3 separate regions of the Mus musculus genome follow, and all the other regions are reported to be linked to region 3. Evidence: microRNA targets listed by miRTarBase, many of them from high-throughput screens and not tested one by one. Region 3 holds a microRNA gene; each other region holds the end of a gene's coding sequence.
The links. The annotated mature microRNA mmu-miR-669o-3p reads ACAUAACAUACACACACACGUAU and lies in region 3 at 1,821-1,843, shown strand. An mRNA with a match to its seed (bases 2 to 7 or 8) in the 3' UTR can be bound and repressed. Matches are read on the target gene's strand: a 7mer-m8 pairs with bases 2 to 8, a 7mer-A1 pairs with bases 2 to 7 and ends in A, and an 8mer does both.

Region 1: the mRNA of Cd47 is a reported target of mmu-miR-669o-3p. Seed matches in the 3' UTR shown: 7mer-A1 at 1,321-1,327.
Region 2: the mRNA of 2610002M06Rik is a reported target of mmu-miR-669o-3p. Seed matches in the 3' UTR shown: 7mer-m8 at 1,716-1,722.

What each region holds. Positions count from the first base shown.
Region 1 is chr16:49,910,239-49,913,605 of GRCm38, forward strand. It overlaps Cd47 (CD47 antigen (Rh-related antigen, integrin-associated signal transducer)), which reads left to right. Exons shown (of 9, transcript NM_001368415.1): 9 at 631-2,190. The coding sequence ends at 639. Among named protein-coding and RNA genes, the nearest start is that of Gm19723, 44 kb to the right of the region's middle.
Region 2 is chrX:107,785,167-107,788,166 of GRCm38, forward strand. It overlaps 2610002M06Rik (RIKEN cDNA 2610002M06 gene), which reads right to left. Exons shown (of 8, transcript NM_025921.3): 8 at 1-2,687. The coding sequence ends at 2,643. Among named protein-coding and RNA genes, the nearest start is that of 2610002M06Rik, 30 kb to the right of the region's middle.
Region 3 is chr2:10,502,022-10,505,388 of GRCm38, forward strand. Mir669a-12 (microRNA 669a-12) reads left to right here and starts at 1,770; the gene lies at 1,770-1,856. The region is part of intron 10 of Sfmbt2 (Scm-like with four mbt domains 2); the gene reads left to right. It overlaps Mir467a-10 (microRNA 467a-10), which reads left to right and starts at 1,252; the gene lies at 1,252-1,334. It overlaps Mir466b-3 (microRNA 466b-3), which reads left to right and starts at 1,544; the gene lies at 1,544-1,624.

The DNA.
Region 1 (3,367 bases), not on the chromosome of region 3:
GACAGGGTTTCTCTGTGTAACTCTGGCTGTCCTGGAACTCACTCTGTAGACCAGGCTGGCCTCGAACTCAGAAATCCGCCTGCCTCTGCCTCCCGAGTGCTGGGATTAAAGGCGTGCGCCACCACGCCGGGCGACACAGTTTGGTTTTTAAATGCTTGTTACGGGCTGTGTCTTCTGATGTCCACCCTGGACTCACGGCGTACAGATCACCCTGAACAAAGTTCAGGGCACCTTCCCAAGAACTTCCTCTTTACCTATGCCGGATCACAAGTCTGTTTCACTTATATTAACCGAATGCTGTAAACCTAAAGTGAACATGGTAGAATATTATTCTTGGATCAATAACTTCTGCTTTGAAAAATCAACATCTCATGCCTTGTATTGAGCTTACCCAGCAAACCAAGGTTATCAGTCTGTGTTGATTTTATTTTCCCATGCCATTGGCATTTTACTTACCAAACTGAAAAGGCTAATGATTTGCCTGATTTCTGTCTGTGACCTTTACAGATACATTTTCATTATTTTTGATAGAATATCTCAAACAGTTTCAAGCTTTAGCAACAAGTCATGTCTCAATGCATAGGAAGTGGACGTGAGTAGTGACGAAATGTTGATGTTTCTGTTTTCCAGAATAGGTGAAGGGAAGTGACGGACTGTAACTTGGAAGTCAGAAATGGAAGAATACAGTTGTCTAAGCACCAGGTCTTCACGACTCACAGCTGGAAGGAACAGACAACAGTAACTGACTTCCATCCAGGAAAACATGTCACATAAATGATTACTAAGTTTATATTCAAAGCAGCTGTACTTTACATAATAAAAAAAATATGATGTGCTGTGTAACCAATTGGAATCCCATTTTTCTATTGTTTCTACTCAACTAGGGGCAAACGTTTCAGGGGCAACTTCCAAGAATGATGCTTGTTAGATCCTAGAGTCTCTGAACACTGAGTTTAAATTGATTCCGAGTGAGACTCGCCAAGCACTAACCTGAGGGTTAGTTACCCAGAGATACCTATGAAAAACAGTGGTATCCAGCAAGCCTTAGTAAACTCAGGTTGCCAGCAGCTTTGCCACTTCCGCTGCTAGCTGAATAACAAGACTGCCACTTCTGGGTCATAGTGATAGAGACTGAAGTAGAAAAACGAATGTGGTTGGGCAAATCCCGTGTGGCCCCTCTGTGTGCTATGATATTGATGGCACTGGTGTCTTCATTCTTGGGGGTTGCCATCATTCACACACACCCCTTTGACATACAGTGCACCCCAGTTTTGAATACATTTTTTTTGCACCCTGTCCCGTTCTGCTACTTTGATTTGCGTTATGATATATATATATATATATAATACCTTTTCTCCTCTTTAAACATGGTCCTGTGACACAATAGTCAGTTGCAGAAAGGAGCCAGACTTATTCGCAAAGCACTGTGCTCAAACTCTTCAGAAAAAAAGGAAAAAAAAAAAAAGCTATAGTTGTAACATATGTATTCCAGACCTCTGGTTTAAAGGCAAAAGAAAAAAAATCTACAGTGTTTCTTCTCATGTTTTCTGATCGGAGGCATGACAAAGCAAGACTGAAATCTGAACTGTGTCTCCTGCATGGCAACACGTGTCTCCGTCAGGCCCTCGCAAGGCCCGGGGAGGGGGTTCTACGCCTCTTGTCTCTTTGTTGCATGCTGAACACTCATCGCCTTCCTACTGTATCCTGCCTCCTGCAGCCTCCCTCTTCCTCCTCCTCTTCCTCTTCCTCCTCTTCCTCCTCCTCCTCCTCTTCCTCCAAGTTTGAAAGGTCAAACAAAACTACCACATTCCCTACCCAGTTAGAAGAAAACCACCGTCCTGACAGTTGTGATCGCATGGAGTACTTTTAGATTATTAGCACCTGTTTTTACCTCGTTTGTGGGCGTGTTTGTATGTGCACATGTATGAAGTCGGCACATGCACCTTCTGTATGGGCAGAGGCGTGGCATCTACAGAAGAGCAGATGCCAACTTTGTGCTTTTAGTGAATACATTAAAAAAAAAAAACCAACGGTCCTTATTGAGTGGAATTCTATTTGATGCAAATATTTGAGCTCTTTAAGACTTTAAAACTAGATAATGTGCCAAGCTTTTAGGACTGCTCACCAGTGCCCTCTGAAGAAACACCAGTACTTTTTCCTGTTTGTGTAATAAAGGCATATTTGTATTTGTGTTTGCATCACTAATGGTTATTTCTTCTTAGTCCACTGAATGTTTCCATGTGCCTCTCGTATGCCAAACTTTTTGTCATCTTTCATGTGGGGACCAAATGGTTTGTCTGTGGCAAACCTAAACCTATGACCTGCTGAGGCCTCTCAGAAAACTGACCACAGTACCAAGATAGTACTTCGCAAAGAAAAGTAGGTTCCCTCCCTGGTTTTGTAGCTGTCGCCAATATTAGCGTAATTCCAAGGAGCTGAACGCCTTTATATAAATCTGATGGCACCTGATGCTTTTAGTTCTGAAAATATTTACACTCGGATCATGTTGTTGATGACTTAAACAAAGTTTTGATGAAGAGAGCAAAAAAAAAGCAGGTGGATTTGGAACAGTTTCAGGGTTTTTTTTGTTTTTTGTTTTTTGTTTTTGTTTTTTTTTTTTTATTTTTGTTTTTCTGTTCTCTGTTAGAAAAGTCAGGTGTTCTCTGTCAGGCTATCTTTATAGTCAATTTTTTTTACGAACTAAAGTAGTACCTTTTAATATGTAGTCAACGCCCCTCTGCTCGGGGTTCAGTTTTGGGTCTTAACCAGCTGTCATGTTCTCTATGCTGCCTGCCACTTGAGGCACTGAGTGCCCTAGACAGTCCCATCGGTGGTAGCCAGGGAAACGAAAGACGAACTCAACTCTTGCTCCTAATAATCAACTCTCTGTATGAAGGATGGCAGCATTAAGAGTCCTCCTGCCTGGGCATTATTGGGCCAGTTCACCCTCTTTAAATCAAACCCGCAGTGGCTCCCAGTTCTCGTCCCATCAGATTTAAATTGCTAACAGTATGGGGGGCACCACGCATCTGTTTTGTCCCACAATGCGCTTTTCTCTCCCAAATCCCGATTTCTGCTGTCATAGCCTCTATTCAATTTTTATTTATTGTCTGCCCTCCACTTATACAATCGTAGAGAGCAATGCCATTTGTCACTTTCTGCAACAGTTTTTTGAGCCTTTATGGCTGAATCCCATTTTTCTTCTCTTTCAAACTGTTTGCTCCATTGCTCCTCCCGCACGGCTGTCCGTACAGTCATCCCATCCATCTGGGGGCCTCTTTCATCTCTCACCCTTCCTGGTGCTTCGTGGATCTCTGCTTACCTCTGTGGGTTTTTTTTTTTTTTTTTGACTTATTCTTCTCACTGG
Region 2 (3,000 bases), not on the chromosome of region 3:
GAGATTAAAGGTATGTGTGACCATGTCCAGTATATCTTTATTTTAAAAATTATGTGTGTGTCTGTGTGCATCTATACACATGAGTTCAGGTACCCTGTGGGAACCAGGAAAGGTCACTGAATCCCCAGGAGGCAGATTTACAGGATGTTGTGAGGTAACTGATGTGCTGCTGAGACACAAAGGCAGATCCTCTTGAAATGGTAGTATTAACTTTACAGCCCTGATAGTAATATTTTAAAAGGTAAGTCTGACATGGTTGCAACATAAAAGAATGAACAGCTAGTTGTGGAGCTAAGTGGTAGTAATAAATCTAACAATTTTTTATTCAAGTTAAAAGAACAGAAACTATTTAATTCATACCAACAGAGAACACATTCTTTATGTCATAAATACTTTTGTCCATCAAATCTCTTCTATGGATATCTAGGGTATCCCAATACAAACTTTGGATTAATGTTGCAGAATTTTCCTAGTTATATAATAAATTGTCCATTAAAAGGTCTTAAAAATTAATGAACAGTCATCATTAAATTACTGGCTAAAAACTATAATGATTTAAACTTTACAGTGGATTAAAACCAAGTAAATATTTACTCTGTTTCTCTTTACATAATGTTCTGAATTGAATGAGTCTCCTATAGGCTCACATATTTGAAACTTTGTTCACCAGTTGGGAAGGTTATGGTACAGGTCATTGTACAAACTCTGTTGGAGGAATTATTCCACCAGCAACAGGCATTGGGAGTGTCTTGCCACACTTCCAGCTGGCTCTTTCTGCGTCATGTGTACAGCATAATAGAAAGCATGATTTCTTGGCTTCCTGATCCTGCTACCATGCATCCCTGCCATGGTGCACACTTTCTTATCCCTCTGGAACTGTAAGCCAAAATAAACTCTTCTATTTATAAATTGCTTCTGGTCATGGTGCTTAATCGCAGCAACAGAGAAGTAACTAACGTAGAAGATGTTACTAGAGAGTGAGCTATTAAATCAGGCAGCAAAGCTGGAGGAGTTAAGCCATCCAAACCCTCGGAAAGTAGTCCCAGACATCCCACATAGAGCTACAGGATTTGCTTATATGTATGCCTTGTGAGCTTTCAGTCTCTCTGTAGTCCAGTATTTCCTCATCATGTCCCCCTTCCTCCCTTCTAAAATGATAATGTGTAACCTGTGCCATCGTATGTTGGAAGTATATTATTTGCTTTTAGATCTTATCAGTGGCTAGAGATTGTCTCGAGTCTCACAAGATATGCTGGACTTTGAAATTTCAAATAGTATTGAGATTGAGAAAGACCATGGGCACTTTAAGCATCAGAGTAAATACATTTTGCATTATGATATGGCCATAAGTCTATGGAAGCCAGGGAGAGGAATGCAGTGGTCTGAACGAGACATTTTTCCATAGACTCATGTACTTGAATAATTGTTTCCCAGTTGGTGGTGCCTTATGGAGAAGGTATGGAGATATGCAACCTTACTAAATGAAGTATGTCACTGGCTTTGAGAGCTTCTAGGTCTGTTACACTGGCAGCCTGTTCTTTCTGCTTTGTGTGTGTCATTAAACATGTACCAGCTACCTGCTCTTGCTGCCACACCTCCCCACCATGATGGAGCCCTCATTTCCCTGGAACCATAAACCAAAATACTTTCTTTCTTCCATAAGTCACTTTTGAGCACGGTTATTTATCATAGAAACAGAAAAAATAACTAATGTGCATAACAACCCCCACCCCCAAATCATAGAAAATGAGCTGGGTATGGTGGTATATACTTAGAGACCAATGCTGGAGGCTCACTGAGTTTCAGGGAACTCTGGGCTATATATTTCTGCCCTGTCTCTAAAATAAACAAGCAAAACAACAACAGCAACGAAACAAAACAGAGGCTAGACACATGGCTCAGGAGTTAAGAGCACTGGCTGGTCTTCTAGAAGAAATGGGTTTGAATTCTAGTATCCACATGTTGGCTCCCAATTGTCTATAGCTCTAGTTCCTGGGGAATCCAATGTCCTCTTCTGGCCTCTGTAGGCACCAGACACACAAGTGAGTACACAATTTAACATGCAGGCAAAACAACCATACATACAAAATAGAAATAATTTTCAAAAATCCCATGGAAATTGTATAGTCTATCTTGTGATACTTAAAATAAGATGGTCTGGGTTATGCGAACATATTAAATGAACATGCTTTCCTGTTTTTATTTTTACAAAATCAAAATTCATCACAGACAATAATTGAAAGTTACTTTCAATAAGTAAAAACAAAGCCTTTATACATTATTCTGACAAAATTACTTTACTTAGCATTACTTTGGTGCTAGATGTTTGCTCTAATATTTGCGGAAGATGTATAATATACAGAAAACTAATGCTAGCTTTGCCAAAGACATCTAGAAAAATATGTCCCTCACACTTTTACACACAATATATAGAACTATAAAATCTGCCAATGTGGAAATTCCTTGGAATTTCGCAATGCACTGTGAAATACACAAGGCAAAAGAAAGCATCTTATAGAAATGATGTCCAAACATCCTGTCATGTATGATGTTTTTGTAACTGGAATACACCTTATCTATAGACACACACACAAATGATGGCTCAGAAATATGTGGAGGAACAGAAGCACCAGTTATTTAAGTTACACTTGATCACGAAGACGAGCAAGCCTCTGTGACAGTTCATCCTAGGGGAAGCCAAATTTACAAATTATCAAAGGCTGTAACAAATATTAGCCACAAAATTTTAATCCTCTTCCATTGTAAATAGAATTTAAAAGCTTATGAAATTTATATAAATGTTAGGCAATTAGTTTTTTAAATATCTCAAAAGAAACTGCATTTAGAGCAGTATGAAGGTTAGCAAAACAATGTAAGAAATGAAATGTGCATGCAAATTGAAAATGCCCACCATTACAGAGCTAATGGTTTCTCATATTTTCTTCATTTATAATGATGTATCATGGTAGAAAAATATTCTTCATAAAAATGTGAATATGT
Region 3 (3,367 bases):
AACTCATCGATCCATTTGAATGACGTGTGACTTAGAGTTTTAAGATTCCTCAGTACTGAATGGGGAGAGGTCTCACTCAGCAGGTGAAGTCCCTTGACAGAGTCAGGTGGATAAGGAGTTCAAATTCGTGCTGAATTTCATGATGAGTTCATGATCAGCATGGGATTCATCTTATGCCCACCAAAAATGTGCATGTGTGTATAGTTGTGTGCATATTCACTTCTCTATATGAATATGCATATACACGCATGCAAACACATTCATAGGAATGGCCAGAGCTATGTCTCAGTTAGGCGGTGAGTATGCTTGCCAGAGCTAGGAGGATGAGGAGTTCAAATTCATGTTTAACTTCTTGATGTGTTAGTGTTCAGCATGCGATTCATGTGATGCCCACGAAGAATGTGCATGTGTGTATAGTTGTGTACATATTCACTTCTCTACATGAATATGCATATACTCACATGCAAACATACTCACACTAATGGCCAGATCTTTGACTCAGTTAGGAGGTGAATACTCTTGCCAGCATCATGAGGATGAGTAGTTCAAATTCATGTTCATCTTTATGGTGAGTTAGAGATCAGTCCAGAATTCATGTGATTTTTCCCTGTGTATGTGTTTATGTGTAAAAGGAAGTGTGCCTGTACATGCGCGTATATGAGCATGCATATATATATATATATATATATATATATATATATATATATATACACACCCACACAACTAGGGACACATACATGTGCACACATACACACATGGCAGTCATCCATTTGATTTATACGTGCTTATAATTTCATTGAGTGTATATTCATGGTATAGGGAATAATCTCACTTATCAGATGAAAACCACTTGCCAGAGTTAGGAGTCTCAGGAGTTCAAATTCATGCTTAACTTCATAATGAGTTAGAGATCACCCTGTATTTGTGTGATGGATCCTAGGTATGCACAAGTGCATATAATTGTGTGTGCACGTACATGTGTGTATATGATCATACATATAAATACACACACATACAAATGTATTCACACACACAGGCGTGCACACTCACACACATAAGAATGACACTCATTGATCCATTTGAATGATATATGTCTTAGAATTTTGCTGATTATAAAGTAGAGGGACAGTGAAGGTCTCACTCACCAGGTGTAAATAATTGGCAGTGTCAGGAGGATCAGGAGTTCAATTTCATGCTTAACTTCATGAGCAGTTAGAGATCATCCTGGAATAATGTGATGGCCCCTATGTATGTGCCCGTGTGCGTAAGTGCCTGCATGTATATGCGTGTATATTTTATGCATATACATACACACACCTACACACACATGCACACAGACATGCGGAAATGGCCTTCACGGATCCATTTGAATGATATGTGACCTACTGCTTTGGAGGTTATGTATGACTGGGCCAGGGTGAGGTCTCACAAACCACGGGAAAACCCTTGGTAGAGTCGGGAAGATCAGGAGTGCAAGTTCATAGTAAAGGCATGATGAGTTAGAGGTCATCCTGGCATTCATGTGATTGCCCCTGTGTATGTGTATATGTGTTGATGTGTGTGTACATGTACATGTGTGAATATGATATACAAATACATACACGCACACATAAGACACATATGAGCACACAGACACATGGGAATGGCACTCATCAATCCATTTGAGTGATAAGTGACTTAGAGTGAAAATGCTTGCTAGAGTTAAGAGTATCAGGAGTTCAAATTCATACTTATCCTCATGAGAGATCAGCCTGTGATTCCTCCATGTATGTGCATGTGTGTATAGTTGTGTGTGCATGTTCATGTCTATATTTGAATATACATAACATACACACACACGTATAAACGCAAGCACACATACACAGATACAGGAATGGCATTCGCCAATCCCTTTGAATGATAAGTGATGTAGAGTTTTAGCGATTATGCAATAGGGGACATTGAATGTCCTCACTCACCAGGTGTAAAAGATTGACAAAGTCAGGAGGATAAAGATTGCAAATTCATGCTTAATTCAGTTAGAGATCATCCTGGTATTCATGTGATGCCTCCCATGAATGTGCATGTGTGTTTACTTGTATGTGCATTATCTCTGTTGACATGCTATATATAACATAAACACACGTGTATATGCAAGCACACACACACACAGGAAAAAATTGCATTCATTTATACGTTTGAATGATGTGTGACTTAAAGTTTTCAAGATTATGCAGTAGTGGGACAGTGAATGGTTTTACTCACCAGGTGTGAAAGATTGTGGATCAGGAGTTCTAATTCATGCTTTACTTCATGATGACTTAGAGATATGCCTGGGATTCATGTGATGCCCCCTATGTATCTCTATCTGTATCTGTTTCTATTGTGTGTGGATTTGAGTATATGGATGTACCTATCTACACAAATATATACATGTACACAGACACAAACAGAAACACACACACAAACATCAGTGCAACTCATCGATCCATTTGAATGATATGTGATTTAGAGTTTTAAGATTCCTCAGTACTGAATGGGGAGAGGTCTCACTCAGCAGGTGAAATCCCTTGACAGTGTCAGTTGGATCAGGAGTTCAAATTCGTGCTGAATTTCATGATGAGTTCATGATTAGCATGGGATTCATCTTATGCCCACCAAAAATGTGCAAGTGTGTATAGTTGTGTGCATATTCACTTCTGTATATGAATATGCATATACACGCATGCACACACATTCATAGGAATGGCCAGAGCTATGTCTCAGTTAGGAGGTGAGCACTCTTGCCAGAGTCAGGAGGATGACGAGTTCAAATTCATGTTTAACTCACATTGAGTTAGAGATCAGCATGCGATTCGTGTGATGTCCTCCAAATATGTGCATGTGAGTATAGTTGTGTGCATATTCACTTTTATACATGAATATGCATATATACTCATGCACATACACGAATGTCACTCATATATTTTTTTGAATGTTATGTGACTCAGAGATTTAGAGCTTATGCAGTACTGGTCCAGAGCTATGCCTCAGTTAGGAGGTGAATACTCTTGCCAGAGTCAGGAGGATATGAAGTTCAAATTAATGTTTAACTTCATGATGAGTTATAGATAAGGCTGTAATTTATGTTTTTGCCTCTGTGTACGTGTATATGTCTATAGGTAAGTGTGCTTGTACATGTGGGTATATGTATATGCATATATATACACATATATGGACACATACATGTGTACACAAATACACATGGCAATCATCCATTTGATTTATATGTGCTTAGAGTTTTATAGAGTGCATATTCATGGGACAGGAAACATCTCATTAATCAGATGCAAACCATTTGCCAGAGTCAGGAGGATCTGGAGTTCAAATTCATGTTTAACTTCATGAT